Linked DNA regions of Caenorhabditis elegans. The protein of the gene in region 1 interacts with the protein of each later gene in a pairwise test. Each region holds a gene or a part of one and is shown on either strand. Other genes may lie near its edges.

What was found.
Region 2: the proteins of ceh-45 (region 1) and vang-1 interact in a two-hybrid assay, tested with the Caenorhabditis elegans proteins (one large-scale study listed by BioGRID).

The regions. Positions count from the first base shown.
Region 1 is NC_003279.8:1,120,107-1,136,406, reverse strand, and holds ceh-45 (Homeobox domain-containing protein), read right to left. Parts: upstream 8,084-16,300; 5' UTR 8,049-8,083; coding exon 7,981-8,048; intron 7,198-7,980; coding exon 7,013-7,197; intron 6,602-7,012; coding exon 6,393-6,601; intron 5,186-6,392; coding exon 5,120-5,185; intron 4,935-5,119; coding exon 4,773-4,934; 3' UTR 4,642-4,772; downstream 1-4,641.
Region 2 is NC_003284.9:2,880,407-2,898,117, forward strand, and holds vang-1 (Vang-like protein), read left to right. Parts: upstream 1-5,451; 5' UTR 5,452-5,465; coding exon 5,466-5,621; intron 5,622-6,433; coding exon 6,434-6,567; intron 6,568-6,617; coding exon 6,618-6,750; intron 6,751-6,802; coding exon 6,803-7,021; intron 7,022-7,788; coding exon 7,789-8,231; intron 8,232-8,575; coding exon 8,576-8,794; intron 8,795-8,845; coding exon 8,846-9,014; intron 9,015-9,769; coding exon 9,770-9,895; 3' UTR 9,896-10,275; downstream 10,276-17,711. Other genes in the region: B0410.3 (Neuropeptide-Like Protein), read right to left, coding at 10,465-10,644, 10,705-10,875; F52B10.3 (uncharacterized protein), read right to left, coding at 12,148-12,430, 12,697-12,787, 12,841-12,994, 15,185-15,286, 15,567-15,693, 17,500-17,711; B0410.1 (Nodule Cysteine-Rich (NCR) secreted peptide), read left to right, coding at 14,167-14,403.

The DNA.
Region 1 (16,300 bases):
ATTTTTATCATTGCCCAAAATAAAGATGATATAAAATTTTTTAAAAAATATGTTTTTCTCAAAAAGTTTGAATTTCCGCCAATTTTTTTTTAGAAAATTTGAATTCCCGCCAAATTTTTTTTTACTCAGAAAATTTGGCAGGAATTCAAATTTTCCAAGAAAAAATTTGGCGGGAATGCAGATTTCCTGAGAAAATTTTGGTGGGAATTCAAATTTCCTGTGAACAAATTTGACGCGAATTCAACTTTCTGAGAAAAAGTTTGGCGGGAATTCAAATTTCGCTAGGAAAAAATGGCGGGGATTCAAAATTTCTGAGAAAAAATTGGCGGGAATTCACATTTCCTGAGAAAAAAATTGGCGGGAATTCAAATTTTCTGACTTTTTTTTGCACTTAAATATTTTAAAACTTGTCCAATAATTTCACAAGTTTTATAAATCACAATTTGACTTTCCACAAAATGTGTTCAATTTGATTTTTATACAGCGAATCACTTGTGATTTGCGGACAACTGTGACGTCACACCTCCTTTAATGGCCTAACTACACCTCTTCCACGAAACCCCTGGCAATTCGAAAAAGTAGCAAATTCGACGCATGTTTACACGGCGAATTTGACGTTTTGCCTCGGGGGACAGGTGTTAGTTTCTCGCACCTTTTGTTCTTTCTTCAGGAGCCTCCAGTCGTTTTTTTCAGTTGATCTGTTGACATTTGGTATTAGTTGAGGGGTGCCGAGAAGCCTCTTGGCAGATGGATGTGTTCGATTATTTCATTGACATACTACATACACATAGACATACGTACAAGAAAGCGAGGTGTCTTCTTTACAAGCGGTCAAATCCTTGGGCAAATACAAACCGCTTGACTACCGTAATCCGGTGTGGTGGTGTGGATGGGCAGTGGATCATGGTGTATCGAGTGGTTAATATGTTTCAAAAGATGCTAATAGCTAGATGAATTTGGAAAAAAATTAATTTAAGAATTGTTTTTTCGCCAATAATAACAATGGCTTGCAAAAAAATATTTCTTAGAACTTTCGAAAACTATAAATAAAAAATAGGATTTTTTTAAAACTTTTTGCTGAAATGAATGGGAGCATCTTGAAAATTCTAAAATTCTGTGACGTCACGCGTAGGTTAGAAAACTTAGCGGCCGTGCCGCAAATCTTAGCGGCAAACCGGAAAATTGCCGATTTGAAATTTCCGGCAAATTCGGCAAATCGGAAAACCACCAAATTTACCGGAATTGAAAATTTCCAGAAAATCGGCAAACCGGAAAATTGCCGAAAATAAAAATTTCAGGCAAATCGCCAATTTGCCGGAATTGAAATCTTCCGGCAAATCGGCAAACCGGCAGTTTGCCGGAATTGAAATTTCCGGCAAATTCGGCAAATCGGAAAACTGCCGGAATTGAAAATTTCCGGCAAATCGGCAAATCTGCAATTTGCCGAAATTGAAAGTTTCCGGCAAATCGGCAAATTGTTAGAATTCAAAATTTCCGGAAAATCTGCAATTTGCCGAAAATGAAAATTTCCGGCAAACCGGCAATTTGCCAAAATGAAAATTTTCGGTAAATCGGAAAATCGGCAAATTGCCGGAATTGAAAGTTTCCGGCAAATCGGCAAACCGGAAAATTGCCGAAAATAAAAATTTCAGGCAAATCGCCAATTTGTCGGAATTGAAATCTTCCGGCAAATCGGCAAACCGGCAGTTTGCCGGAATTGAAATTTCCGGCAAATTCGGCAAATCGGAAAACTGCCGGAATTGAAAATTTCCGGCAAATCGGCAAATCTGCAATTTGCCGAAATTGAAAGTTTCCGGCAAATCGGCAAATTGTTAGAATTCAAAATTTCCGGAAAATCTGCAATTTGCCGAAAATGAAAATTTCCGGCAAACCGGCAATTTGCCAAAATGAAAATTTTCGGTAAATCGGAAAATCGGCAAATTGCCGGAATTGAAAGTTTCCGGCAAATCGGCAAACCGGAAAATTGCCGAAAATAAAAATTTCAGGCAAATCGCCAATTTGTCGGAATTGAAATCTTCCGGCAAATCGGCAAACCGGCAGTTTGCCGGAATTGAAATTTCCGGCAAATTCGGCAAATCGGAAAACTGCCGGAATTGAAAATTTCCGGCAAATCGGCAAATCTGCAATTTGCCGAAATTGAAAGTTTCCGGCAAATCGGCAAATTGTTAGAATTCAAAATTTCCGGAAAATCTGCAATTTGCCGAAAATGAAAATTTCCGGCAAACCGGCAATTTGCCAAAATGAAAATTTTCGGTAAATCGGAAAATCGGCAAATTGCCGGAATTGAAAGTTTCCGGCAAATCGGCAAATTGCCAGAATTCAAAATTTCCGGCAAATCGGAAAATAAGCAATAACCTTTTGCTGGAGTGAAGGGGAGCATCTTGGAAATTCTAAAATTCTGTGACGCCACGCGTGGCCTAGAAAATTTAGCGGCCGTGATCAAAAATCGTTCACAAGAAAACACTTTTTCCGTTAAACATAAGGTTTTGAATATTGATGACATTCGGTCGAACTCAAGCGACCGCGCCCGACACCTCGCGAGTTTAACTTTTTGTGTTTCGCTGCGCCCGACATTTCGCGTGTCGGAACAAGCGCCGTTAGGCAGCCTCTCATGTTCAAACTTTTAGTAATTTCCTGCGCCCGACACTTCGCGGGTTCAAACTAATTGTGCTTTGCAACGCCCGACACCATGCGGGATTAAGCTTTTCTATAAAAATCACCCCTCTTTAGATACTGTAGGCGTCTAGAAAATCCCTATAGATCCATATATCTTACACACATGTTCACACCTTCTTGACATGTTAACACCCCCTCTCCTTCAAAAATATTTGCTCTTTCACTTGCTCCAAGAGCCCCCAACATCTCTCACTCAAGAAGTCATCTCTGTAATCCGATCTCCGTCGACTAAGTGGTCTGTTTAGGCATATACCAGGTGAGAAGATGAAGATGAAGCTGGAGGTGGTGAGGTGCTCAAGAGGACACGCACCACTTCTCACATAACTACCGTACCACCTCCAAGATGAGGCAAACTAATAATTTATGTGTCGTGTAAGTGTATGTGCATGTACAAATTGAGAGCAAATAATGATACAAATATATGACACATATTGAGTTTCTAGAAGCTCTCTAGGGCTCTGCCCTGAATTACATTTTTAACATTTTATCAGAAGAGCGCGATTGCACTCTTGCACGTGGTGTCAGAATGTCCCATTTTGGTTTGATCTCCGAGAAATGCGGGAGAAGAGACGCAGACTTTTCTACTGATTTTGCATGGTTAAGAGTGTACTGTCGTCACAAATTCCTGGGGGAAAAATTTCCGCCATTTTTGTAGATCAAACCGCAATGAGACTGACTGACACCACGTTATTTTGTTTCAGTGAAGTTTGCAGACTTCTTCTGATTCACGTAGTGCCAGGCTGTCTCCTTACGGTTTGATCTACAAAAAAATGCGGGAATTTTTTGCCCGAAAAATGTGACGTCAGCTTGAGAACTTTGCGTCTCTTCTCCCGCATTTTTTGTAGATCATAGATCAACGTAGATCAATCTAAAATGAGACACTGCTGATCAAATTGATCCAATTTTCAATGTTGTTTGAGACCGCTGTTCGAATTAAACGCAAATCTGGGTTCCAGAGCTAACGAATTATGATTTATCGGTAGAACGCAATTGCATTCGTAGATCAATGAACGAGTTTTTACAATTTCGCGGCCCCACAGAAAAGTCACGCGAGAAAAAAATTAACACAAGACTATAACTTTCTCACGTGGTGCCAGGCTGTCTTAATACAGTTTGATCTACAAAAAATGCGGGAATTTTTTGCCCTAAAAATGTGACGTCAGCACACTCTTAACCATGCGAAATCAGTTGAAAAGTCTGCGTCTCTTTTCCCGAATTTTTCGAAGATCAAAGATCAAACCAAAATGGGACACTTTGAGCTTCCGTGCTTTCTGAGCCCGTGTCTTTTTCCACACCCCGCTCATATATTTTTTCTAACAGCGAAAATTGGAATCTGCTTTCCTCTCTGTCATTCATAATTCAGAAATAATTCTAATTTCTTTGGAAAACATTGGATTAGCCTCTTAAAATGACTTCGCAACGTTTCCCACGAGAATTTGCAAAAGATTTGGGACCTTCGGCAGCGGGTGGGATTAGTGCGGCGGATTTTGACCGGATTTGCAGATTGGTGCATCGATGCAAAAGTAAACTGAAGAGAGTGGAACCCCCGAACAAGGGACTGGTGCCTTAAATCAGCGCCATGAGCCGCACCAATGGTCGGCGGCAGGTGCGAGAGGCGTAGGGGAGCCTGGAGACAGCTAGGTGTCACACCGCGGTGTGCAAACGCGCTCTGTTGAGAACATCATCAAATTTCCACATGATTACCTTCAGGGTAGGTATCTTAATACCGTACTTCCTCTTTAAAACAGTAATACCTTCCACACACACGCATAAATCGTTGCTGATAAAAATGCTAATTCGATTAATTTAGCAATGTGATTTTCCTTACAAACCCCCCTCTCCCCCCAAACGGCTACAGTAATCCGCCAGAGACCGGTCGGGCGGTGCGAATTTTACGGGGGATTATCTACAGTAACCAACCACCACAACAAAATGATAACGTGATTAGAATCGGATTAATTCGCCACATACATTTATTGACTTGACAAAATGAGAGGGGATGGGGGGGACTAGAATATAAAGAGGGGGTGGCCTGGATTTCCAGCTAGGTGGGGAATAGAGATTCAAATTATATGCTAACAAGGCTCCAACACCAAATTCTCGCTGTGCGATGTCTTCAGTGAGGCTTTTGATTCGGGCGAGCTCGTCTCTTTTCCGCTGGAATTTTCGCGTTTTATCCGTTTCACTTTTCGGGTGTCCTCGTCGCTCTCGTCACATTCGGAATCGTCTCCGCTGTGCTGAAAATGTAGAGAAATTTAGGTAAAAAAAAATCACTATTGGGTATTGAACCAAAAACTGTTGACACAAAAAACCGCGCCTACCACTGAGCCAATTTTACCGTTCTTGGCGGTGATGGAGGGAGACCGTGAGAGTACAGTAGAGCGCATTTGAAAATTAATTTTCAAAAAGTGTACTAGCTTACCTTAGAAGTCCGACTGTCGTCCTTCTTCTGCTTGCGCTCTTTTGCCCGACGATTTTTGAACCAGACCTGGAAGAGAAAATTTATTTAAAGAATATTATTTTAAAAATCGATTATTCAATTGATAAGGCACGTGGTGCTAGGCTGCCCCATTACAATTTGATCTACAAAAAATGTGGGAATTTTTTACCCAAAATTATGTGACGTCAGCACGTTCTTAACCATACAAAATCAGTCAAAAACTCTGCCACATTTCTTGTAGATCTACGTAGATCAAGCCAGCGCCGGCGGCCGAACTATGACGACGTCACTCCTCTTCCAGCGCCCCCCTCATCCTCTACAGGTTGAGATTTGCCGGGTTAAGTGAGTGAGGCAGGTGGAAGAAGATAAACGGAAGAAGAAGAGCTGTTGGTGGTGATGAAATAATTGAAAAGGGCCGACACGATTTAGGCAGGTGAGAGGTTGTAATTAGAGATTACCCCACAGACGGTTTTCCTCAGAAACACAGCTATATGGTATTATAGGGTTTAATGGACTCATTAACCCGGAATGTTCGGGTATTGTTTTTTTTTTTGCGAAAAAATAACTTTGAAATCTGTAAAAACCCGGGTAGTTGAAATCCGGGAAAACCCACTTTCGTGGATTTCAACTACCCGAGTTTTTTGTCTATTTCGCATAAGATTTTTAAAAGACCTTCAAAATGTGGTTAAAAACCACCAAAAAGCTTTAAAAATTCCGGAAAAAAACTCGGGTAGTTGAAATCCACGAAATTCAATTTCTATGGGGTTTCGGTCCCGTGGATTTCAACTATCCAAGTTTTTAAGTCTAATTCGCATAAGATTTTTAAAAAATCTTTAAAATGTTGTTCAAAACCACCAAAAAACTGTCAAAAATTTAGAAAAAAACTCGAGTAGTTGAAATCCGCGGAAACAAATTTTCCGGGAAAATGTGATTCCGCGGATTTCAACTACCCGAGTTTTTTTGTCTAATTTGCATCAAAATGTCGTTCAAAACCACCAAAAAGCTTAAAAAATTCTGGAAAAAAACTCGGGTGGTTGAAATCCGCGGAATTTAGATTTTGCGGGTCTTTTCAAAACTGTTTCAAATAATCTTAAAATTACTGAAAAGCCGCCCCAAGAGAACTACACGGCCAAGGATTGCTCCGCGCTTTTGTTAGGCCATTGAATTTTCTAGTCCCCAGGAATTTAATTTAGGCCAGCCAGTCTTACAAAATCGGTGGCCTAGGTGTGACGTCACTCCTCTTCCATTTACTCACCTCAACTCTTTCTTCCTTCAATGAGCACTGAACCGCGAGCTCTTCTCTCGTCGTAGCGTCCGGGTAGTGTGTCGTTGAAAATGTGGTCTCCAAAATGTTCAACTGCTCCTCGCTGAAAATGGTACGATGCCGGCGTTTTCGTCGGGAGGCGTAGTGTTGATGGTGATATGGAGCCATGAATGGAGGCATTAGTGGTCCGCAGAGCATTGCTGAAAAATTTTAGTTTTTGAACAGTAGAGCGCATTTTCAGCATCGCTTCCTTCTAGTTTATCACGTGGTGTCAGAGTGTCTCATTTCGGCTTGATCTTCGTTGATCTACAAAAAATGCGTGAGAAGAGACGCAGAGTTCTCAACTGATTTAGCATGACGTCACGATTTTTGGGCAAAAAATTCCCGCATTTTTTGTAGATCAAACCGTGATGGGACAGCCTGGCACCACGTGGTTTAGTTCTAATGGAGATTGTTATTGAAGCATGTGCGCTCTTTTGATAAACTACCGGTGTATCGACGTGGGCGATATTGATTTTTTTAAAAGTTCTTATCCAAATTCGAATTTGCGATTTTTTGAAATTACCGACAAAACGAAAAATGCGCTCCACGTGGGCCACACAAAAACTTACAGAAAAACGGATAATTAGCCGGATGAAACTGCCATGGCAGGGCAGAAGCCGCCGCTGCGGCTCCCACTGCTCCAAATGGATCTTGAAAATTGTGAAGCTGCGGAATTCCGGCCAACGGGTTCGAGAGCAATGTGTCAATTGAGAATGAGGTTGATGTGGACGGAGAGGAGGATGACGAGGAGATACTGGAAAATTGGGATGTTCCGAGAGGATTACACATGGAAAAATTTTGTTTTCACCCCCGTGGCCTAGAATGTCTTCAGAGGAAAACTCTTCCATGAAAAGCCCTTCACATATTTTTTAAAAATATTCCTAGGACACCATGAAATTTTCTAGGAGGATTTTGATTTTCAAAATGGAAGAGTTTGCAGAACCAGGTCATTTTGGCTCGGCCATATCTGGGGTAGATTTACGGCGCGTTGCGTGTCGCGTCGCGGCTTGAGTTTAGTTGTAAAACTAAGTGCATCTGTCCGTGTGGAGTACACGACTTTCCCACGCGTTGTCAGGCGGGCGATTGTCAATGGAGCACGAAAAATTCAATGAGAAACGCCAGAACACCGTGAATTTTCAAAAAAAAAAACAATTTAGAAATCTAAAATTTCAGGTAGAAATGGCCCCGGTGTACTTCTCTCGGACAAGTAGTGCAAAATTTTGTTTAGAATTTTGTATAAAAAATCTTGAATTTTCATTATTATTTATGGCAGTAAGAAAATTCTTTTTTTTTAATAAGTTGTCCGAGTGGAGTACGAACCTATTTAAAAAATATTTTAAGTGAAAAAAAAATGTTTAAAAAATGGAAAAACTTTTGAAACAAGTTTTGAAACAAAAAATTTTTGAAACAAAAAACTTTTTTTTAAAACTTTTTTATTTGATTTTTGCTTATACTAAATTGTACTTTACTAACACTACAGAACCCCCTTTAAAAGCCCCCCAAGGCTTCACACGAACCAAAAAAAAAAGGAACCAACCTTGCAGAATTCGGCGTCACCAATTTGTTCATAGTTTCAGGTGTCATTAAAAACGGGAAGGATGCCATGTGTCACACCGTAGTGGGGGATGCGATTCTTCAGTGTTGTTCCCCTCGTAGATCATCAGTGCCCGCCCACTTTTGTGCTTTTGGCGGTGATTGGGCCGGCACGCCCACTTTCTTCGTCGCGCGCCGACGTTTGGCGCAGTGGGGAAGAGAGGAGAGAGGTGTGAATAAATAGAGATTGAGAAACATTGAGGATCCCCTGCTTGTATCGGTGGCCTAGAATTTCGAATTTCAGTTTTCCGTTAAACATCGTGCCGGAAAATCGAAAAGTGTATAGAAATGACGTCATAAATGTATTTAAATACATTTCGAAAATCCTAGAACGTCTGTGGTCTAAAGCCTAAAACAAGGATTTCCTCGACTACAAGGACCAGGATTTGGCTTAGATTTTCCAATTTCTAGGCCATTGGGGTTTTCTAGACTACCAAGATTTTGTGAAACATATCTGAAAACAGCTTAAAATTGAAAAATTAAAGAGAACCCTCAAAATGAAGATATTCACTTGTCCGAGAGGAGTTCACACATTTTATTTTCATATTTAATAAGGCCTAGAATTTCGAATATCAAATTTTAAAATTCTAGGCCCCTCAGGTTTTTGTATTTTTGTACATTAAGATTTTGGTGTACAATGGGAGTACACATTGGAGAATAAATTTTGCAATTATATAGGCACGCGGTAGGCGGAGGTCGTTTTGAAGGCAGGTGAATTTTTTTATTTTCCAAGTTCAAATGTTGTTGGTTTTTAGAGTAGGCATGCGTGTAGGCAAAATGAATGCCTTGATAGGTACAAGGCAGGCCTTGAAGGTAGACCATGGTAGGTGGGGATAGGCTTTGATAGTCTTAGGGCACATTGATTGGTACAAGAAAAGTAATTGCACGTGGTGCCAGCCTGTTCCATTGCGGTTTGATCTACAAAAAATGCGGGAATTTTTTCCCGAAAAAACGTGACTTCAGCACATTCTTAACCATACGAAATCAGTTGAGAAGTCTCGTAGATCTACGTAGATCAAACTCTGGCGCCACGTGTAATAATAGGCACAAGCCATGCCTTGATAGGCTCAAGGTAGGCATTGAAGGTATTCCATGAAGGCAGGCATGCCTACTCGCTCTTACCCAGATATACATGTCATGGCAACTAGTCAACCTGTATACATACACACCCGTCTCTCCATTCTGTCAATTAGTTATCATGATTTACTGCCTGACGGCGGCGCGGCACAGTGTCAAGAATATGTAATATGTCTCTGTTTCTCCAATTCTCATGTCCCTTCTTCGGGCGAGGGTTTCAATTTGGGAAAGGTGGTGTGCATTCAAGTGTGAATATCTGTCGGTGATCCTTCCTTATTTTCTTACTTTTCATATCTGATCGTCCTTATTCGGATCATTCCCCTTATTATACACAGGTGTCCCTTCAGAATGGGGCGGCTGAAATTGAATAAGGGGGTCTGGAAAAACTTAGGATTAGGCTTAGTATTAGGCTTAGGCTTAGGCTTAGGCTTAGGCTTAGGTTTAGGCTTAGGCTTAGGCCTAGACTTAGGCTTTTGCTTAGGTTTAGGCTTAGGTTTAGGCTTTTGCTTAGGTTTAGGCTGAGGCTTAGGCTTAGGCTTGTGCTAGGCATAGGCTTAGGCTTAGGCTTAGGAGTAGTGTTAGAGTGTTAAATTTACCCTTTTTAGGATTTTTTACCGCAGAACTTAAGAGAATTCATCAAAAAAAAAAAGTTTGAAAAATTTTTTGTCCGAGTTTTTATTTTAAAGATTGACTATAACTGTTCTTGTGGTCTAAAATTCTCTAAAAACTCTTCCACGAGTCAAAATGTATAGATAATGACTTATACTCACCTAAAACTCTTTCAATACAGTATACTTTCCCACCAGACGAGTTAAGGTGTTAATGCTACCTCCCGCTGAGAGCCTCCCCCTGACACCTTTGCCCAAGAGCACCGCCCGTGCTTCCTGTGTCAAACATTACCCCATAAGTAACAAGAAAAAAGTGTTGAGATGGGGGAGAGGTGTGTAAATATTATAATGTTACTGTAGACTATATGGATAAGAAGATGTACTAGTCTAGGGGTCTATTGGATTAACTCCTTCTATACCATGGAAACATTCCGTTAATCCTGTGTTTACCGTTTTCATGGAGAGATAAAATATAAATTATAAAAGTTGTATCAAAGTATGAAAATCGTCAAGGAATTTTGGGAAAGGGCCGATTTTTTTTTGAAAAAAACTGGTTGAATAAAGTTTTTTTTTTCAATTCTTCGAAAATATGTTTAGCTTCGCTTTCCAAATTTTAGAGGCTTAAAATTTTAAATTTCAAAATTCCAGGCCACTGAGGTTTTTGGATTTTTGTACATTAAGGTTTTTTTTTGAACAGAAGGCGTACACAGAGGAAAATAAATTTTAAAATTATATAGGCACGCGGTAGGCGTAGGTCGCTTTGACGGCAGATTTACTTTTCTTTTTCCAAGTTCAAATGTTGTTGGTTTTTAGAGTAGGCATGCGTGTAGGCAAAATGAATGCCTTGATAGGTACAAGGCAGGCCTTGAAGGTAGACCATGGTATGGGCTTTGATAGTCTTAGGTTCACATTGGTTAGTATTTTTGTCTATTGTTTTTGAAATTAAAAAAAAACAATTTTTAACTTTCTTAGTGTAACCACAATTTCAATCGTTTTCAGGTTCAATTTTTTTGTGAAAAAAATTGTTTCAAAAAATGTTAGAGGTAAAAGTTCGCACCTAATTTTTTTTCCAAATTATGCTAAAATTATTTTTTTAAAATCCTCTAAAATTTGGATTAAAATAGAATAAAAAACGAAAATATTGAAAATTTTCGGTTGTTTTTTCGACAATTTTTCCAATTAAAGGTAGGGTACCGAAATCTGGAAAATATTTTTAATTGACTCCAAATTTTTTACTAATTCCGAATATCAATGTGAAAAAATTCAAAAAAATTTCCCTGATTTTATATTTAAGCTTGAAATCACGATTTTCATTTGTGCCGAAAAAATATAAAAGCAGGGAATTTTTTTTGAATTTTTCACATCGATATTCGAAATCAGGGAAAAATTTGGAGTCAATTAAAAATATTTCTCAGATTTTGGTACCCCTCATTAAAAAAAAAACAATTTGCTCTCTTGCATAATCATCTCTTAAAACCCCCCACTACAACAATTGTTACATGCTTACTACAAGTACTCATCCCACTTGATTTGTACCATCTTGAACCTAAAACAAGTGATGAGCAACAATATTAACAATGTGTTGTATAAACATGAATACTCGTTGGTTACGCAATTCACACCCTTTTGACTCAAGCGGTTTCGTGCACGATGAGCACGTAATAGGACAGGTGAGATGGGGTGGCTGGCCGCTAAGGGGGGGGACGTCTTGCAGTGAAAATATTATGTGGCGATGTGTAAAGATTATATTTTAGAAATATTATATTTTATGTAGTTTTTGTAGTCTGTGACGTCACAAAAAATGTTTGAAAATTATTTTGCGGAAATTAATATTATCTTAGAATAATTTTGGCGGGAACTCAAATTTCCAGAGAAAAAATTGGCGAGAATTCAAATTTCCTGAGAAAAAAAAATTGGCGGGAATTCAAATTTTCTGAGAAAAAATTGGCGGGAATTCAAATTTTCTGAGAACAAATTTGGCGGGAATTCAAATTTCCTGAGAAAAAAATTGGCGGGAATTCAAATTTTCTGAGAACAAATTTGGCGGGAATTCAAATTTCCTGAGAAAAAAATTGGCGGGAATTCAAATTTTCTGAGAAAAATAGGCGGGAATTCAAATTTCCTATGGTGGTACAGCCACTGGATGAATGCAAACGCGCTCCACAGAACAAACGGGTAAAGATGTCTCGACTTAACATTTCTTGGCAAACACTCTTTGACTACCTTTTGCTCTTTGACTACCTTTGCTCATTGACTACCTTTCGGCTCATTGACTACCTTTGCTCTTTGACTACCTTAGATCTTTGACTACCTTTCGGCTCATTGACTACCTTCAGTTGCTCATTGACTACCTTTATCTAATTTTTCAGAATTTTCAGTTTTTTTCGCTGAAAAATCAGAATTTTCAATAACATGTTACTTTTTGATGTCTAAGAAGCTGGTGCACTTTTTCATTTCCTGAAATTCCGGAGAAAATGGAGATGCGATCTGATGTATAAATGCTCATTGACTACCTTTTGCTCTTTGACTACCTTTGCTCTTTGACTACCTTAGATCTTTGACTACCTTTTGCTCTTTGACTACCTTTGCTCATTGACTACCTTTCGGCTCTTTGACTACCTTTTGCTCTTTGACTACCTTTTGCTCTTTGACTACCTTTGCTCTTTGACTACCTTAGATCTTTGACTACCTTTTGCTCTTTGACTACCTTTGCTCATTGACTACCTTTCGGCTCATTGACTACCTTCAGTTGCTCATTGACTACCTTTCGGCTCTTTGACTACCTTTTGCTCTTTGACTACCTTAGATCTTTGACTACCTTTTGCTCTTTGACTACCTTTGCTCATTGACTACCTTTCGGCTCTTTGACTACCTTTTGCTCTTTGACTACCTTAGATCTTTGACTACCTTTTGCTCTTTGACTACCTTTGCTCATTGACTACCTTTCGGCTCTTTGACTACCTTTTGCTCTTTGACTACCTTAGATCTTTGACTACCTTTTGCTCTTTGACTACCTTTTGCTCTTTGACTACCTTTGCTCTTTGACTACCTTAGATCTTTGACTACCTTTTGCTCTTTGACTACCTTTTGCTCTTTGACTACCTTTGCTCTTTGACTACCTTAGATCTTTGACTACCTTTTGCTCTTTGACTACCTTTCGGCTCATTGACTACCTTTCGGCTCATTGACTACCTTTCGGCTCATTGACTACCTTCAGTTGCTCATTGACTACCTTTATCTAATTTTTCAGAATTTTCAGTTTTTTTCGCTGAAAAATCAGAATTTTCAATAACATGTTACTTTTTGATGTCTAAGAAGCTGGTGCACTTTTTCATTTCCTGAAATTCCGGAGAAAATGGAGATGCGATCTGATGTATAAATGCTCATTGACTACCTTTCGGCTCTTTGACTACCTTAGATCTTTGACTACCTTTTGCTCTTTGACTACCTTAGATCTTTGACTACCTTTTGCTCTTTGACTACCTTTTGCTCTTTGACTACCTTTGCTCTTTGACTACCTTAGATCTTTGACTACCTTTTGCTCTTTGACTACCTTTTGCTCTTTGACTACCTTTGCTCTTTGACTACCTTAGATCTTTGACTACCTTTTGCTCTTTGACTACCTTTTGCTCTTTGACTACCTTCGCTCTTTGACTACCTTAGATCTTTGACTACCTTTTGCTCTTTGACTACCTTTGCTCTTTGACTACCTTAGATCTTTGACTACCTTTTGCTCTTTGACTACCTTTTGCTCTTTGACTACCTTCGCTCTTTGACTACCTTAGATCTTTGACTACCTTTTGCTCTTTGACTACCTTAGATCTTTGACTACCTTTGCTCTTTGACTACCTTAGATCTTTGACTACCTTTTGCTCTTTGACTACCTTTTGCTCTTTGACTACCTTTGCTCTTTGACTACCTTAGATCTTTGACTACCTTTTGCTCTTTGACTACCTTTTGCTCTTTGACTACCTTTGCTCATTGACTACCTTTCGGCTCATTGACTACCTTTCGGCTCATTGACTACCTTTCGGCTCATTGACTACCTTTCGGCTCATTGACTACCTTTCGGCTCATTGACTACCTTCAGTTGCTCATTGACTACCTTTATCTAATTTTTCAGAATTTTCAGTTTTTTTCGCTGAAAAATCAGAATTTTCAATAACATGTTACTTTTTGATGTCTAAGAAGCTGGTGCACTTTTTCATTTCCTGAAATTCCGGAGAAAATGGAGATGCGATCTGATGTATAAATGCTCATTGACTACCTTTCGGCTCTTTGACTACCTTTTGCTCTTTGACTACCTTTGCTCTTTGACTACCTTAGATCTTTGACTACCTTTTGCTCTTTGACTACCTTTTGCTCTTTGACTACCTTCGCTCTTTGACTACCTTAGATCTTTGACTACCTTTTGCTCTTTGACTACCTTTGCTCTTTGACTACCTTAGATCTTTGACTACCTTTTGCTCTTTGACTACCTTTGCTCTTTGACTACCTTAGATCTTTGACTACCTTTTGCTCTTTGACTACCTTTGCTCTTTGACTACCTTAGATCTTTGACTACCTTTTGCTCTTTGACTACCTTTGCTCTTTGACTACCTTTGCTCATTGACTACCTTTTGCTCTTTGACTACCTTTTGCTCTTTGACTACCTTCGCTCTTTGACTACCTTAGATCTTTGACTACCTTTTGCTCTTTGACTACCTTTGCTCTTTGACTACCTTAGATCTTTGACTACCTTTTGCTCTTTGACTACCTTTTGCTCTTTGACTACCTTCGCTCTTTGACTACCTTAGATCTTTGACTACCTTTTGCTCTTTGACTACCTTAGATCTTTGACTACCTTTGCTCTTTGACTACCTTAGATCTTTGACTACCTTTTGCTCTTTGACTACCTTTTGCTCTTTGACTACCTTCGCTCTTTGACTACCTTAGATCTTTGACTACCTTTTGCTCTTTGACTACCTTTGCTCTTTGACTACCTTAGATCTTTGACTACCTTTTGCTCTTTGACTACCTTTTGCTCTTTGACTACCTTCGCTCTTTGACTACCTTAGATCTTTGACTACCTTTTGCTCTTTGACTACCTTTGCTCTTTGACTACCTTAGATCTTTGACTACCTTTTGCTCTTTGACTACCTTTTGCTCTTTGACTACCTTTGCTCATTGACTACCTTTCGGCTCATTGACTACCTTTCGGCTCATTGACTACCTTTCGGCTCATTGACTACCTTTCGGCTCATTGACTACCTTTCGGCTCATTGACTACCTTCAGTTGCTCATTGACTACCTTTATCTAATTTTTCAGAATTTTCAGTTTTTTTCGCTGAAAAATCAGAATTTTCAATAACATGTTACTTTTTGATGTCTAAGAAGCTGGTGCACTTTTTCATTTCCTGAAATTCCGGAGAAAATGGAGATGCGATCTGATGTATAAATGCTCATTGACTACCTTTCGGCTCTTTGACTACCTTTTGCTCTTTGACTACCTTAGATCTTTGACTACCTTTTGCTCTTTGACTACCTTTGCTCATTGACTACCTTTCGGCTCTTTGACTACCTTTTGCTCTTTGACTACCTTAGATCTTTGACTACCTTTTGCTCTTTGACTACCTTTTGCTCTTTGACTACCTTTGCTCTTTGACTACCTTAGATCTTTGACTACCTTTTGCTCTTTGACTACCTTTGCTCATTGACTACCTTTCGGCTCATTGACTACCTTCAGTTGCTCATTGACTACCTTTATCTAATTTTTCAGAATTTTCAGTTTTTTTCGCTGAAAAATCAGAATTTTCAATAACATGTTACTTTTTGATGTCTAAGAAGCTGGTGCACTTTTCCATTTCCTGAAATTCCGGAGAAAATGGAGATGCGATCTGATGTATAAATGCTCATTGACTACCTTCAAATGCTCTTTGACTACCTCTATCTAATAAAATTTTCCAAAATTTATTTTTTTGAAAACTTTTCAAAATTTGATCAGATATTATAGAAAAGTGCAATTTTTGTCGTTTTTCTAGTTTGGATGTTCTGCACACTATTGCAGACGAAAACCTGAGGTATAGTAGAACCCCTAAGCTCAAAAAACGCACTCACTTCGGATGCTGATATCTCCGTGGAAAAAAATTTATGGCAAAGTGATTAACTACAAAGTTATATATCTTAATCTAACGTACAACTTTGTAGTTGATTGTTTTTTATCGAAAAATTTGTTGGTCGAGATAAAGTTGTGTAAAGTTTGGCACCTTCATGCTTGTATTTTCTTCTTCTTTTTCTGTTCATATCTCATCCAACCAATTTTTTGATAAAAAACGATTAACTGCAAAATTGTACTTTATGTTAAGATAAACAACTTCGTAGTTGATCACTTTGTCATAAAACATTATTGCACGGAGATATCAGCATACGAAGTGAGTGCGTTTTTTGAATTCTGAGGTTCTACTATACCTCAGGTTTTAGTCTGAATTCGTGTTCAGAACATCTTAACTAGATTAACTACCAACATTGCATTTTTCTATAACATCTGATCAAATTTTGAAAAGTTTTCAAAAAAAGTTTTGAAAAAAATTTTGAAAATTT
Region 2 (17,711 bases), on another chromosome or scaffold:
TTGTCCCCATCATATTTTAAAAACTGGTTCAGTGGACAACTAAACATCTTGGCAAAAACAAAAAGGGCAATAGAAAGAGCATATCCATAAAATTGAAACGTTGTTTTTTTTTAATGAAAAGATGAAAAGGAAATTGTGAGGTCGAGCAGACCATAAAATACATGCCAGGTGTTAGCTATGGGGTTACTCGAATTTTTATTCACTCACGATCTGACAAGTATTAACGGTTTTTGGTTTTGTATATTAGAAAATCTTTGAAATTGCTTTAAAACATGCAAATATTTTAGTTTTAAAAATTCAAAAAAATTTCCAATTTTTTAAATTGATTTTTTTTTGGAAAATTTGAATAAACTCAGTTTTTTCCACTTTTTCGGAAGTCGTCGATCAAACAAAATTCTTCAAAGAATTTTTTGATCTACTTATGTTCCAAAGAACAATATTGATGCTCTGTAGAGGTTACATGCGACAGTTTTTTTTTCAAAAAGTGGTAAAAATTTAGTTATTGCCACTTTTTGATTTCGATAAAAAATTTTCAACAATTTTTTTTTGAAATGTTTTACTATGGTATTTGATAATTTTAAAACAATGTCTTTACTAGCGCTACTCCACATTTAAAGGCAAGGTAAATTACCGTATATTCTCTGTTAGTGCTGCACATTTTGTTTTTTCAAAAACTTGTCAACTATCAGAATAATTTTCATTTATTTTTCTATAGTTTTGCACTAAATTTTTTATTAATATCTTCAAAATAAATCGAGATATAATATTTTAAAGTATAGGAATATGGTGCAAAAAAATTTGAAAAAATTTAAAAAGTTGTAATAATTATATCAGTGAGTTTTCTAACACAACACAAGTATCGTAACATTTTTCTCGAATTTTTTCTCTGTTGCCATCAAAGATGGAATATATACTAAATTCTGTCGGAATCTTTGTAGATTTTATCGTGAACTGTATAGTTCTTATTACTACCCATACATTTCACACTTCTAATTATCTTTAATAAAGACGGGAAAGGTTTTTATTGTAGGGTTTTCTAAAAATGTTAAAATTTATATTATTAAGAATACTTTTCACTGTAAACGGGTGTTTTAATATTTCTGATTTTTTGGAGTAGAACACCGTTGTGTCTGAAAAATAGATCGAAGTATGTTCCAGGTGTTATTTAAGACTACAAGAAAGGCATGGAAAAAAAACTGTATATAGAGTTGAAGTTTTGAAATTTGTTTTAGCGCATATCATTAATTATTTGTGTCTCTTTGTTCCGTACTTTTGTTCACGTTTTTAATTTGAATGGTGGTTAATGGTAATTTAGAAAATTAAAACATTTTGGGGAAACGAAACCTATAAGTACATCATTTTCTTTGATTTCTGGACCTTATTGTTTCAGCCAAATATGTATTTTGTTAATTTGCTTAAATTTTTTGTCGAGGAGTGAAAAAAAACAAATAGAGTTATGTTAGAATTTTTGCGCGTCCCTAAAAAAATACTTCACTACTATTTCTCCAACAATAGATTTTTTATATAAAATGTGACGATAAACCTAGCAACTGCTGGGTTACCAGCATATTTTTAGTCCTGTTATAAATATATAAAAAACTTGACAACATGAAACATCACAATTTTATAGAAAAAGATTATTAAAATGTACTATTTATTTTAAATTTATTATTTATGCTCCTCATTTTTTAAATGAACCAAAAAAAAAATTCAACTAAAGTGTGAGCAGTGACTATAAAAAACAGAGCGATTTAAAAAAGAGAACAACTGAAACAAATTTAAAATCATTTTTGGTATGTATATATAATCTCATGTCGTCTTGTGCAATTAATTATTTTTTGCAGAATTACTTTTTCGGTTTACAAGTTTGTTAAAGTTTAATGCTTGTGTAGTATACCTGGTCCAAAAATATTTTCCAACTTGTTTTCAGTTTATTTCTAAAAAAATATAGCCCAGTTGGATCACCACCAGGCAGTGTACCTGAATCCCAGATTCGCAGTGCATAGCACTTGAAGAACGGATCGCCCTTTAATCCTTTAATTTTGATTTTAGGCTTATAAAAACATTAATCCAAAGCATAATATGGCCGAAAATTGTCACGGAAATGTTGCAAAATTATTAACACTACAAGTACACAAGTACCTAAAATTATTACATAAGTACCAAGTTCTGGTATGATTTCTTCAGGAGATAAAAAATAGACGGTGTTTTTTTTTTGGCCAAATGTCAGTTGGACAACCTTTCGATTTGTTTTTTAATGTACATGTTTTATCAAAAACCTAAGCTTACAAACTTTTAAATTATACTTCCCGAAAGTTTTTACAATTTTTATGGCGGTTCAAAAATTTCGAAAAAAGTACAAATTTTCAAATAAAATCTGACTTTTCGCATTCTTTTTCTTGTCAAATCAGCTGGAATACAGTTATTATCGAATTAACATTTTTATAGGACATTCGAAATGCTTAGCATTTCGTTATTACCGTTTCCGTTAATTAAGATACGCTTAAAGCTGGTTGGTAACCAAAAAAAGTCAAAAATTGATTACCTATTGGCTTTAAATTAATTTTACTCTTTCTGGGTTCGTCTTGAGTTACCATTTTATTTAACTTCATAATTTAATTTGTAAATTGCATTAAAAAGTTCAATAAAATTCAAGTTCAAAATTCATATTCAATTTAGTTTTAAAAAGTTAAGATAAATGCAATAAAAAACAATAATCAATTTTTTTAAATTTGAGTTTTTAACTACAATTATGTACCTCATTTTTTCAAAATTTTGAACCGCCTTAAAAATTATTTAAAAGGTTTTTGGAAACTTCAAGAAAAGTTTCATTTTGAAATTCGTTTATTTTTGTGCATATTGAGTATAGACGTTCAAAATACCCATTAGTTCTCCTTTAAAACTTGTGTTTTGTAAATATTGTGCATAGGTATGTGTAACAAAGGTCGTGAGAACAATCATTTTTATTTCTTATTCACATGCGCAGCTACCGTACGTTTTTTTTTTGTTAATAAATGCAACTCTATTCATTTTGCACCCCCTTTATTTACTTTCATGCTCCAAAAATGTTATGAGATTGACTTTTAAAAGGAAATGCGTTTTTGAATGTTTGGAGCATTGACCTACCGTTTCCTCTCATTTTGTTTGATTATTTCTCACGGTGTCGGTGTCAATGGCAGTTTGATGAAATTCAATACTGTATTAACATTTCAGACATCAAAATGATTTTCAAATGCTCAAGTAAATATTTATAATTTTCTAGACCACATCAAAATACTTTTGTCAAATCGTTGATAAGTTCACTATTAGTTTTTTTGAAAAATGTTTCCGTTGCAAAAATTTTTGAGGTTTTGTAAACGGAAAACTTATTTAAAGGTGGCGGAGCGCCAGTGGGGAGATTGATTGGACATTTTATAAAACGGAAGCACTTAAAACTGTGTTTTTTTGAATTTTTTCCTTTTTTAAAAGATATTTTTAAAAAGAATTAGCTTACTTTTCAAAATTGATGTAGGAACATTTATAGGATCCATACAATTTTGCCGGCTGAAATTGAAATGCTGAAATTAAAAAAAAAATGTGCAAAACCACAATTTGCCAAAAACTTACGGCAAGTGCCGAGGTTGCGCGCAAATTTGGCAAATTGGCAGTTTTTTGGTATGCCCATTTGCCGGTAATTTCAATTCCGCCATTTTAGAGTTTTTCACTATGATATTTGCCTTCCCTGAGGGGCTTTTTTTACTCTTGAATACAAACTTCTGACAAATGTATACCTATTTATGCTATATTTCATATTAGAGACATAACAAAATTTTTGAAAAAAAAGTGTTTCTTTGTGATTTAACAAAGTTATACATTAGAAATGAGTTGTTGAATTTTTTCAATTTATTCCATACCAAAACTACTGCGTTCAGAAAAAACATCTGGTTTCTGCATAAGTTCCGTGAGTTTGTGTGTCATTTTTTTGAAATTTTTGAGGTCAAAATCAGTAGTTTTAGTCAAAATTGTTTTTCAAACTTTTGATGTGTGCGGAAAATTTCGAAATTTGCCGAGCTCGGCAAATTCCCCAAACATACTGTTTTGAAATTTGCCGAGCTTGGCAAATGGTGAACTTGACAAATTCGGCAAATTTGTCGCTTGCTCCTGCTACACAAGTACCAAAAAATAAATATTAGAACAACAAAACGTTGACAAAATTACGGTTGAAGCATTCTAGCACCTTTCGATTGTCACACTAAACAATCGATGCATAGATCCCAATTTTCACTTACACTTGCAAATGTGCTCCAATGAAATTACCATTTGCACTACTGTTGTGTTATCTACGTAACCGTTGTGGTTCTTTGGAGTGGTGTGTCTGCGCGCGCACACCTTCGCCTCTCACACCATTTTCACCCCACTCATCTTTGTTACTGCACACCCCTGATTTGTCGTCTTTCCATTTTTCGTTCACCTCTTGACGGATTGATGCTAATTTTATTGTACCGAGCTGTTTAGAATTCAACTTTTTCAATAGTCCTAAAGCTTTATATCTTGCCAGGTTGCCATATTTTCTTATTTTATGATTTTCTCAGCTATCTAAAATGCGGTACTTGTGAAAGTATACCTGGATTTAAAATATTAATCATTTTGAAAATTTTACGTAATTATGTTCTATACTATGTCCATAAGGATTAATGTTTTTCTAAACCTAAGAATACAAATCAATTTCACGTTTTGTTTAAATTGTAATTTTTAAAAGAAATGAATGGAAAACGTATTGAAACATATTTTTGAGCTAGGTATATTACACAAGTACCTAAAATAGATACATGTTTCGTCACAAAATAAGGAGCCCGTCAGCTAAATCTTACTTTTCGGTTTTCTTCTACCCAAATCCGCTCTTTGAAATCACCAATGAGTGTCGCATGTAATTGACGACCATTGGGAGATGAAAACCGGCTCCAAGGGGTGACAAGAAAGATGCTCCGGTCCGGGGGTCCGTTTTTCGAAAAGCCCCGCATCTGGTGCGGCCTAGCGGATAGTAGTAGACACACACACACACACACACGCACGCTCACTCACCATTCCTCTTCCCATTCCCCGCTCGCCTCTGACCACACCACACATACGCACACACTGGCCGAATGGGTTGCGCTGGGGCAAGCAGTGGAAGGAGAAAGAGGAGGACGCTGCATAATGTGTTAGAGGTTATTTTCTTTTCGGGGTCCCCTCTTTTCCGTCCACTCGTTTGTCATTGATCGTGGATGGATCGTTTACTTGCGGTTGTGTGTGTGTGTGTGGAACGAAAATGTTATGACGGCGTGTGCGCAACCCGAAGGGCTCGTTTTATCTCTTTTCACAAATTGTCTTTGCCAATCTATCGTTCCGTTCGGATTTTTTTTGTTACATGAAATATAATATGTTATAAATCTCATTCTTTTCAATGGATCAAAATTTTTGGAGAGATTTTTTTTTTCAGGTGGAACATGTCGTATCAAGATAACAGGAAACTTCCGAAAGACACGAGGAGTTGCGTTGGAGGTTTTCGGTATGAAGGACACAAGAAGCAACTACGACCAAGATATGCACAATCTGAAATTGGCGAGCCATTTATACCGAGGTTTTCTGCAATTGCTAGTGAGGTAAGCCTTTTTTTTGAAGATACATTTTAAAATGAAACTCAATTAAATGAGGAGTAACGGCTCTGGGTACCAATATGTGCTCAAAATGAACACATTTTTTTTGTAATGAAACTTCTCAACAGTGTTCAAAATGTTTTTAGTCGGTTTAAAATTTAAAGAAAGGGTTAATTTTTTCACATTTTGAGCAGGCAATTTTTATGCCAGTAGGTAACCAATTCAGGTAATTTTTGATTATCTATTCGCTTAAAAAGTTCCTTAAAAAGTAGGCCTGAAATTAGTTAAAATTTGAAATTTGTCCTACTCGTCAATGTCGTTGCGGCTGGAATCTTTTTTTTTGAAATTTCCGTAAAATTTTGAGTATACAATGTAATTATCCTGCGTTTTCAACTTTATTTAATTATTTTAAAGGCGATGAACGAAGAGATTTGGTAAAGTTTTTAAAAAACATAAATAAATGAAATACCGTGAGATAAACAACCAAAATATTCAATAAAAAAAAACAAAAAAACTGCTGTGTCACGGAAACGTGGCCAAAATTTGAGAATTTTTTAAAAAAATTCGTCTTTTTTTTCGAAATATTGAACCTCCCATAAATATTTTTTAGAAGTTTTATTACGAAATTCGTTTTTAATTCAGTTTCTGAAACTCCTTAAATTCTTTGTTCAGATGTGTCAAAATAAGATATAAGCCGACCAAATATCTTATCTAAAATTTAAAATGTCATAAACGCCGAGTCGATATACATATCTTATCGCTTTGCGTTTTCACTTTTGGAAAATCTATTTTTGAGTACATCTATAATTCATTTGCAGGGCCAGAAGATTGCACCACCTAACGAAGACTGGGCAGACAACACCACCGTGCTCACTGGAATGACGACGGATTCTTTCACAATGGAAGAAAAAGTGATTTATACCCCACCAATTGGACGTGTCATAGGAAGACGGTAAATGTTCTTTTTTTCTAATTTCACTTTTTATAACTATTGAAATTCAGGTGCTCTAGGTTTGTCTGGCTGTTGGCCTCGTCGTTACTTTGCATTATATCGGTGGTCAGTGCGCCGATAATGTGTTCATTGCCTATAATCGCACCACGTTTCGGCTTCAGCATGCCGGCAATTCAATGTGACGTGAGTATTTCGAAAACCAATTATATCGCATTAAAAATATAATGTATTGCAGGTCGATTGTGAAGGACTCCTGTTTTTAATGGCAATCAAAACAATCTTTTTGGTAATTGCAATTGGAGTTCTTTATTGGAGGAAAGCCATGGCAGACATGCCCAGGTTGTACTTTGTACGAGCTGCGCTTACATTTTTAGTCATGTTTATCCTGTTCGCGTTTTGGCTCTTTTACATTGTCAGGATAATGTTTGAAAGATACGACAACTACAAGTACATCGTAGGTTTTTTTTTTCAAACACAGTGGTGGCCAAAAGTATATGCGTTTTTGGGATTTTTTTGCTGGCTTTTTTTATAGTTTCAAATTAGTATAGCGCACAAGCTAGGTACCCTAAAAATTAAAATTCAACTACATAACTGTTACCTAGAATGTTGTCTACTTGATAACTCAGGTTTCAATAAATTAAGTCATTGAAATCAAAAGATATAGCATCGGGCACCTCGTAAGTCCTTTTTTTGCCACGTCCCTTTAAAGGTGTAGCAATGCCGGCACTCATCGTGAACAATTTCTGAAAATGGAGGTTAAATTGTTCTAAAACTTTCAGTTCAAATGTGAATAAAAGTGTAAACATTAGTTATTTAAAATAAATGCCTAAAAATATTTTTGAAAAAAATGACCAGATTTTCAACCGAAATTTTCAATTCTACCGATTGCGTAAGAAAAAACGATTGATAACATGCAATATAAAATTATTTGCGGATTATTTGTTACTAAAACTTTGCTCATGAAAACTGTTCATTCTTGAGTTACAGTCATGAGATGTGGCAAAAAAATTGGCTCGCGAGGTGTCGGCCGCTGTAACTTAGTCTTTTAAAATGTTGAAACTTGTGTTATCATGTGGACAAAATTTTAGGCAACAGTTTATTTGTTGAACCATTTTTTTTAAGTTCATAATTTGTAGCGAAAATTCAGAAGCGGGTATACTGTTCGACTTCACTATGAATCATTTCGAAAAAAAATTGTGAAATCATAATTCATAATTTCAGGTTTCCTATTCCACATCACTGCTCGACGCTCTTCTATGGACACATTATCTCTCTGTTGTGCTCCTCGAGCTTCGTCGTCTACGTGCCCAATTCATTGTAACTATTGTTCGCGATCCAGACGGTGAAATGCATACATTGAACATTGGCGCTGGCTCAATTCAAGAAGCTGCCACCGAGATTCTTCGTTTCTACACAACTCGATTCTCCTCGTTCAACATTCACCTTGACAACGCCAGACAGACGGCGGTTGCAAAGCAGTCTGGAATGCAAGGAGGCACCGCAGGCTTCAAGATGTACAATATCGAGCAATTTGGAGGGCAGGAAACTGTTAGTGAAGTCAACACGCGGGCTTTGATGGAAGCCGCGGCGAGAAGAAGGATTGGTGGATATGCTGAAGTGATGCAGGAAGAACTTGATTTTGAAAAACGGTTAAAGAAGAGAAAGTAAGTGTTTTCAAATTCAGAACTAACGATTTGGATACTTTGAACAAATTTTGTAATGAAACTTCTCAAAAAAGTTTAAAACTTTTTTTAAACGGCTGTTTCAACTTCCTAAATATTATATTACTTTTTTCAAAGCTATAATTTCAAATTTTGTCCACTTTTCCCTGTCACAACTGTTGGAATTATATTTTAGAGTTGAGGTAGCGAAATGATTTTTTGGACACAAAATGGCCTAAAATTAAGGAAATTTTTATTGAGAAGTTCTGAAAATTGTTCAAAAAAAATTATGGCGGTTCAAAGCTTTTAAAAATGGCCTCTTTTCGAAACTCATAAAATCTTTACAGGTATCGCCTAATTGCCGCCGCCGAAGACGCATTCTCCCATGTTCAGAACACTGCCGAGTCCGGAACGAACCAAAAGCCTGGAATTAACAACCAGATGGACTCACTGACCGCTGCTCAAAACGTATTCACATGGATTGTCCGGCCGCTCACCAAATATTTAAAAACTACTCGTCTTCAGTCAAGACATCCTTCAGGAGAAGTTACGAGGCACATTGAAAGGTACGTTTTTTTTAATAAACAGAATTCAAAGATTAAGCTTTCAAATTTCAGATGCCTAACACTCAAGTTGTCTCATCGAACATTTCTCCAACGCTTCTTCAGTGACCGTATTCCCCAACGGGAAATTGTCGGGGAATCGAAATGGTCGGTAATTTGCGACGAGGCGGTGAGCTCTGGAGTTCAACACGGAACGTATCTAGTGCTCAAATCGCACAACCCAGTAAGATTTTGAAAAGTTAATGTTGAAGCTAAATACACATTTAAAACGACCGAATATCATAATTAAACACTCCAAAATTTTTTAAAGATTTTTTGAATTTTACAACGTATTGGCAAAGTGCCAAATTTTTGAAAAGTCTAAGCATTAAAAAAATGTAGAGCAATTTCGCATGTTCGGACACTTACAAAGTTCGAACACAAATGTTTAAAACAAAATTGAAGTAAACAAAATAGTAGAAACAACTTTTTAAATCTACTTCCAACATTATGAGTGGCAAAACTGAGTAATTGTCACTTTTTGAAAAAATAATTCAATTTTGTTCGAAACGTTTTTCTGTTATATTTGGCATTTTTGGCACCATAGCAGTAGTATGTCCCATATTTCCTCCAGTAGTTTTGCATTCAAAAAAAAATGCTTGATCGGTCGGTAGGGTTGCAAGAGCATTACAAAAACACTTTAACAAAAAATATTACGAATAAAATCCGAAAATTGGTATTTCTGCATTATTTAAAGCCGATTGGCAACAAATTTTTATCATTTTATTCTGCTAAACCCATGTACCTTTGAATGATTTTATATTGCAAATTTCGGTAAGTTATCTTACGCTATTTTGTTGACTTAGGTACATCTCAAGCAAAATTTGAAACCGCCATCAAAATTTTTAAAATTTTTGAAAAGATTCACTCAAACTTCGCTCGAAAAAAAAACAGTTACTTCTCAGACTTGCTAAACCGTTTAATATTACCTTTTTTCAGGATATCGACTGCGGAGTTCAACTTGTTTGCACCATCTCGAGTATTCCGTTCTTCAATTTGACCGAGCAAGCCAAACCTGGAAATGAAAAGTTTTCCTTAAAAATTAGCAATGAGTCGGCAGTTTGATTTGTGGGCTAGTCATCATGCCATCAAGTAAACTTCCAAAAAAATGCCCATTTGATTTGATCAGTTTTTTAAAAAATTTTTTTTACCTGTTAGCTTCTTTTCTTCAACTTTTATTCTACATCATGCTGTTTCTATGTACGGGTTCCTCATCTGACCGAGATGATAATGACTGACATTTGACATCTCTATCGCGCTGCGTCACTTACTTCTTCGAGTATTTATTTTTCTTTAAGTTTCTTCACATTGACTTATGGTCTGGTACCTTTTCAATATGATATGAATAATTTATTCAAGTTTAAGTTTTTCTTAATAAAAAAGTGATTATTTATTATGTATATTTGATTTTAAAAAAAGAAAAAAAATACATCATGGAAAGAAAAATCATTTTTATGAGATCAGAGGTGGTATATTTGTTTGAGTGTGACTGACTTAGCATGTTGATTAGATGTACATCAGGAAATACCCGTAACACATCACTAGAGAGAACATGTCAAATCGAGAGTACGCTATGAAAAATGAAGGAAACGGATATATGAAAAAAAATGCGAACAAGATAGTTTTAAGTTGGATTACACAAAAAGTCTCGGGAACATCAAGCTTCTCTTCTTCCTTCCAAATCTACTGCTGGTGATTCTCTGACTATTGAAAAACGTGGAAATTCTGTCGTTGATCGTGGGATCCATATCATATACAATACCGTTCTCATCCATGAACTGGTTGGGCGAGAAGTTGTCATTGATTTGTTTTTGCTGAAAACAGTATTGGTGAAAACCGATTCAAATCTAAAAAATTGAAAAGTATTGACTTACCCAATCATCTTCTCCGCGCAAATGAAGAATCGGACGGAAATCAGTGTTTTGCATTCCTATCCGACGTCGCGTCAATTTCTCAGATCTGTAGGCATCGAGAAGACTCATTGACGAGACGATTGTGACAATTAGATTGAAGAAAATAATCTGACGGAGTATCTGCGCGAACATTTTGATAGCTTTCGACTTTTGAAGGTTGTGTTGAAGATGACACTTCAAAAAACTGGACGATCGAGACCCAAATACGGAAGTGTAAAGGGAAAGAGATAATAGTTTACAACTGACAGATGCGCTCGTTTAAATAGAAGATATGATAATAGAGAAGATAGAGAAAAAGGCAAATGGGAAGACAGAATTGGTGAGGGACAAACGACGATTTTCTTCTACTTCACACACACACACACACACTATCAGAAAGGGTGGTATCATACTGTCACACGAGGCGGATAGACGAGAGGACAGAGAAAAGAAGATGTTTAAACTTTGGGCTTTGTCATTTCTCCACTTCTCTCCACAAAACCCAAACCGATTACGATACGATAATATAGACCATTTGATCCAATTATGATGCAAACTGTTCACGAGTTTTAAATGATTTTTCGAAGATCTCTAGCAATATTCGCAGAACGTCATGCATGTTAAGAGTAAACAAAACAAGTATGAACAAATATTTTCCGTGAATAAAAATTTTTCAAGAATAACATGAACGTACAAAGAATGTATTTCTTTTTCTACGATTTTTACCATTCCTGAAAAAAAAATTGCTTAAAACTGTTAAATATAGAGATAAAGTTGGCTATTGAAAAAGGCCACTACAAAATATTTTGCATTTTTTTTTTGAACCGGAAGAGATTTGTTAACTTTGAAAACTTCGGTCGTGTAGTGAGGCGCGGAATGAAGTCCTCACGCCGACTCCGCGCACCGCTGTGTGTATACAATGAAGTGCGAAGGGTAGTTATTTAGAAGCGGCCGACATTTTCCAGGTTCCGCGCCGCACTTTAAATTTGGATACATGCCTCGTGAGTGACGCCGTGAGGCCGGTGCTGCGACCTCATGGGAGCCGTGTTTTTTTCAAGAAGCTTCAAGTAGGATTGCATACCTCTAAACTCCAAAAAAAAAACAATAGTCTGAAAATGATATTTAAAGCAATTTTATGATCCTGAAAATTCAGGGCGGTTTTTTTCTGATTGAAAGTGCAAAGCTGCCGTTGCGTACTGGCCTAATTTAAGGGTTCTCTCTTAAATGGAAAATTTTGTCATTCAGAACTCTAATTGTGAACCTTTTTAAGGCAGATAACTAGAGATAGCTAGACTGACAGAATCTTCAAATATCCTTTTTAGGAAATGTCGTTTATTGCATGAGAAAATCTGAAAGTGTAGGAAGCATAGAAACCAGTTGTATGATTGGCGGGAGTCTTACTGTACAATGAAAAACTTTTGAAGTCTACTTAGTTTTTTTGGTGGATTTTTTCAGCAAAACTAGGGTCAAAATTGCAAATGAAACGACAGCGACAATGGTTACACCGACGAGCCACATTGTACAGTAGAAATCACACTCCGGAGGTCCCCATGTTTGCTTATTAATTGATCCGTAAGAGTCGCCAAAGAATCGGAATTGTTTTGCATCCGACGCCACTTGTTGTAATACCATCCATGTGCAATCTTCGGTCACGCCTGATGATGTATCACATTTCCAGCATTCGGGTGTCAACGCACACTTTTCCACCCTGCAATGTACACATTTGAACGACGTCACAAGCGCTCGTGTTTTCGTCGTCGAAAGACTGTCGTTCAAGAAATCATTAGATCGTTGGACAACTTTTGAAGACGAAAAAGACACGAAATGATTATAGGGACAAATAAATGTTCAATGGAACTGGAATTGTACTTTCTTCCTTTACAGTTAGAAATTCAGTATCTCTGCAAGACACTTAGCTGATCGAGTTGATAAGGATTCAGGGGGAGTCCTGATAGTTCTTTGAAGTAACCTCACCATCTGATCAGATTTCTAGCATCATTCTTCAGTAGCACGGCCATCGGGAAGTGAGGCATCAATGAACTGGTGGGGAAGTACGGACGATAGCCTGTAAACGATTGTGTCTATTCAGTGATTGCCCAAAGAACGATCAGTTCCAACCAGAAGACGTGACTTTTCGACGACTATCATGTGAAATATATGTGACAGCATTCTTGGAGGACTTTCTAAACGGACCCGCTTGCATCAGTTTTGTATTGAGAATTTCCACGTCATGGGTTAGCCATAAAACTGTTGAATGATGCTTGAGGATTTCCTGAAACGAATAGCACAAATATCAAAACATTCGAACACATGGAAACGACGTTTATGATCTCCAGTATACTTGTGACGTATGTTCTTTCTGAGTGTACATCACTGTGCTAGTGACGTTTCGAATGCCAGAGAAGCAGTCTTGAACCCTGTTGATCTCACTTGGATGATTAGTTCAAAATGTTTGTCATCACTAGGATGATTCAGATGTGATAAGATTTATATTAATTTATGTTTTCCGCATTTCAAATGTAGACTGAAAACACCTATGATTTTTTTTGTTTCAAATGAAAGGTATTTGGTAATTGATCAAAATGTTATTAGGTCAAGTTGAATTGAAGTTTGATTTTCCATAGTTTTCATAAAGATGGATGGGATTTTTAATATTTCAAACTTGATATTCAAAAAAAAGTAAAACGGCATTTCAAAAACAGCGTATCAAAAATTGATTTAGTGTCTAAAATACTTTTGTATATGATATCATTGTGAGACTAAAAATACATTATTTTTCAACTTTCAAAGATGAACAGAAAGAATATTTGTTCATTCAAAATTCAAAATATTAGTGTTGGTTAACAACATCTCAAAATAGATTTATATGTACAATTTACATAGCGAAAAGTAGGTACTAGTGCAATAACAGAACAGGGATGTGCGGCAATCAAAAATTACCGGGAGTTTTCTATCAAAACTAAAAACAAAAATTCCGAGCCTAACTCTATTTTTTCAAATTTGAAAATATATAGTGTACATGGGCTTTTGCCTCTAAAAATTTTTATCAAGCACAGCCTCCTCACGTGGAAATGACCCAACAAGGGGGCTTGCGCGTTTCTCGTGAGCGTTGGAAAATTTTACCACTGAAAAATGATTTCCTTCGGTTTTTGTGGGTTTAAAATCGATTTCATATTTTGAAATTAGGTATCAATTGTAAAGCTAATTGGGGGAAAGGAGGAGAAAAAAAGATTTTTGATTTTGGTTCAAAAATAAAAGCGCTGATATAAAAAGTAAAAACAACTAAAAATTGAGTTTTTCTTATATTTTTTATATTTATCATCATTTTTCTAGTAGAAATTGATGTTTATTTGAAAAGTAATCTTCCACCCAAGCTTATGTTATGAAAAATATAAAGAAAAACAGTAAATTGAAAGTTTTGGTAATTTCTCAATTTTCCACGCGATGCACGAGAAGTGCGCCAACGGACCGATTTCCACTGGAGGAGACTGTGTCAAGGAGCATTTATGTATAGCAAATACGGTAATTTTTTTGAATGTCTTCTATAATAGAAACAAAAATCTTGTTACAAATTTTATGATTAAATGTCCCAGAATGCGTTCCTTCGATGTAGGCCTATTTTTTTTAATCGTTTCCAGTTGTTGTCATTTTCATTATAAAATGCATATTCCATGTAAATAAATTTTTGTGCCTTTTTTGAAGTTTTGAACTTTTACTCTAGATTCCCGTGATTCTTTTAAAAAATTCCAGGAACAAGTTCTGTCCCGTTTCGTATTTCCAAAAAAAAAGTTGAAAGGACAGGGCAAATTATTTAGGCTTAAAATACTTGTTACTTTGCTGTATTTCAATACACGTTTTACAGTTTCATTGCGTCTTTAAGGTGGAGTAGCGAAATTTGAAACGTCACTTTTTTAAATCCAAAATCACCGAAACTACCTCATTTTTAATAAAACGCTATGGGAATATTTCGAAAAAAAAATTATGGCGACTCAAAGTTTTGGAAAAAATCGTCAATTTTCAGCTAAATCCACAAATTTTTGCCAACGTGACAAAATCACAACCCACCCATCGACCGAAAATGTTTTTCAATCAACAATTAAACGCGTAAAAAATTAATTTCCACTTTTTTGAACAATTTTAGGAACGTCTCATAACGAAGTTGTGTAGTATGCCTGGCCTAAAATATATTCCAATACGTTTTCTATTAATTTCTTTTGAAAATGATAATTTCCTCAAAACGTAAAATTGATTTGCATTTTTAGGCTTAAAATCTTTAAAAAAAGTGATTAATGTTCTTGAGTCAGGTATACTACACAACTACCCGAAAATTGGTAGTTTTGGGCCGTTTTGAGCCCGAGAAAACACAGTCTCAAATTTTACTGAACCCCATTTAACATCCATTCACATTGGAACCTTTTTAAATGAGATTTTTGAAATGTTTAATTTTCTCACCCATTTTTACCTGTAAATAGAACGGGGTACTTGCAGTATTACCAATTCCACGATTTTTGAAATTCACAACTTCCACATTTCTTATGCTGATCAGTTGAGTTTCCAACGCTGTCTGAAATACAAAGTTCGGGTTTTTGATCTTCCATTTATCTACTTTGTTCCTTGCAAAACAGGTTTTCACTGTTTTCACAACATTTTTATTTTTGTAAACATAGCCAAGCATGGCGGTTTCAAACTCAATCAGTTGTTAGTATCATATGAGAGTTTTCTCTTTCTCTACATTCAATACGTCTTCAGTCGATATCAACAAAATTTAGTGGGTTTATGGTATTGTCTCTGACAAAGAATGACCTCGACGTGATACTGTGAAATATCAGATATATGGAACGAACCCCGTTGGCATGATCAAAGATAATCAACTTTGTTGTTGGGAAGTTCCTATGGATTGAAGCAATGAGCACAAGTAGCCGGTTCACATCTTGAATGGACGCAGATAGTGCAAAGACAAGATCACGGGACCTGTAAATCTTTATTATTACTGAAGTTTGGATGAATTTTGATGTATTACATCGTATTTTTAACAGATCAAGATACTTATTTGAAAGATCACTGATACCAAAACAGTGATCTCTGTCATTTATGAACAAAAGTCTCGGCGTGCTTCCTTGATGAGGACGTGCAATATCATTTTCATTCAACTGTTTAACGTTCAGAGGTTGACGTTTAGGCTATAGATACGAGGACTTGTCGAAAATAATAATTGGCATGTGACCGGAAAAGATGATAGATCAGAAGTTTATATTTTTGCAAAAATTCTGACATATCGTTGGGTACAATTTTTATAATAAAGTGATAGCTTTATTGGGATAAGCGGTGGGCGGCAATTGTCGCTTGGCAATCCGGCAATGGTTGTCAAAAATGTCAAATTGCCGAAAACCTTGAAATTCGGCAATTGCCAAATAAACCAAATTGCAGAAATTTTGAAATTTGGCAATTGCCAAAAATGTCGAATTGCCGAAAAATTTGAAATTCACCAATTGCCAAAAAACCGAATTGTCCAAAAATTGAAAATTTAGCAATTGCCAAAAAACGGACTTGCCAAAAAATTGAAAATTTAGCAATTGTCGACTTGCCAAAAAATTGTAAATTTGGCAGTTGCCGAAAACTTTGAAATTTGGCAATTACCGAATGGTTGATTTACCGAAAAAAAAAATCCAATTATCAAAATTTTCTGATTATATTGTATTGAAAGAGGAAAAAGTTAAGTTTGTTTACAAAAAACATTTATTACATTAAAAATTAGTTTTTTGCTAATTTTTTGCGTTTATTGGCCCAAAATCTTTTGAACTCGACAATTGCCGAAAATACCGAAAATTTTGAAAATTTTATGTTTAGTCAATGATTGTCGGTTTTCAGAAGTTCTGGCTATCGACAATTGCGGCAATTGACAAAGTTGTGTAAACTGCCGCGCACACCTAGATCAATCCATCGAAAATTAATTTTTCAATGAAAAGCATCCAATTGAGTACTTAAATTGTACTTACAATGTTAAATTCAAACTTATTTTTTTTTGTAGTTTTTTCAAGGATAATTTTCTAGTGAGATGGGTGAGGTCAGTTGGCGTCCAATGTCCGATGTGAAAAGAAAGAGCAGATGGCAGATACATGCAACACTGCCTGCCTCATCAATTTTTCAACAAGACATTGAAAATTGAATAGTACTGGACTTTTTGGCAATGTTGAATATGTACGTAGCACGTTTTTAATCATTTAAGGGTGGAGTAGCGCCAGTTGGGAAAGTTTCTAATGATCATAGTAAAACTTTTTTTTTAAACTGGAATATTTTTATTTAATGTCAAAAAATGGGAATCACTCAGTTTTTAGACTCAAAATTTTGGTAGTCTATCATTATTTAATTTTGCTTAATTTTTTTAGACATTTTGATGGTCGGAACATGTGACAATCCCTGTATTTTTTTAAATCTAATATTTTTCCAAAATTTGGCACATTGTCAAAACTTTGACTGGAAAATTTTTCAAATCTACAATTTTTTAGAGTATATTATTATAATATTTAATCGTATTGGATCCTTATAAATTTATTCAGACAACATCCCTATCGGGGCTACTCCACCTTTAATAAATGTACTCTTATATCATTGTCATTTATGCTCAAATTTTCTGACTCCAATAAATGCCAATTTTTTAGTATCGTCTTCGAAATTTAAGCAATACCCTGATTTGATCAAAAACTATAGTATCGTTTAAACCTTTAAAAAATTATTTTGTAGATATACTGTTTCGATAAATGTTACTCAAAAACTTGCGTGTTTTTGTCATGTTCTTCTGGCATATCACTTCCCATCTGCGGACATGTTGCGAAACATTTTCCACAGAGCTTTGAGTCATCGGGGTGGGGATAACAATTCCTTGTTTTTCCATTGTCACAACTGCAGTCGACTTGTTGCGAAACATTTAACCAGTATGGATTCCCGTATGTTTGTATCTTCACAAAATCCACAACTTCTTCATAGAATAC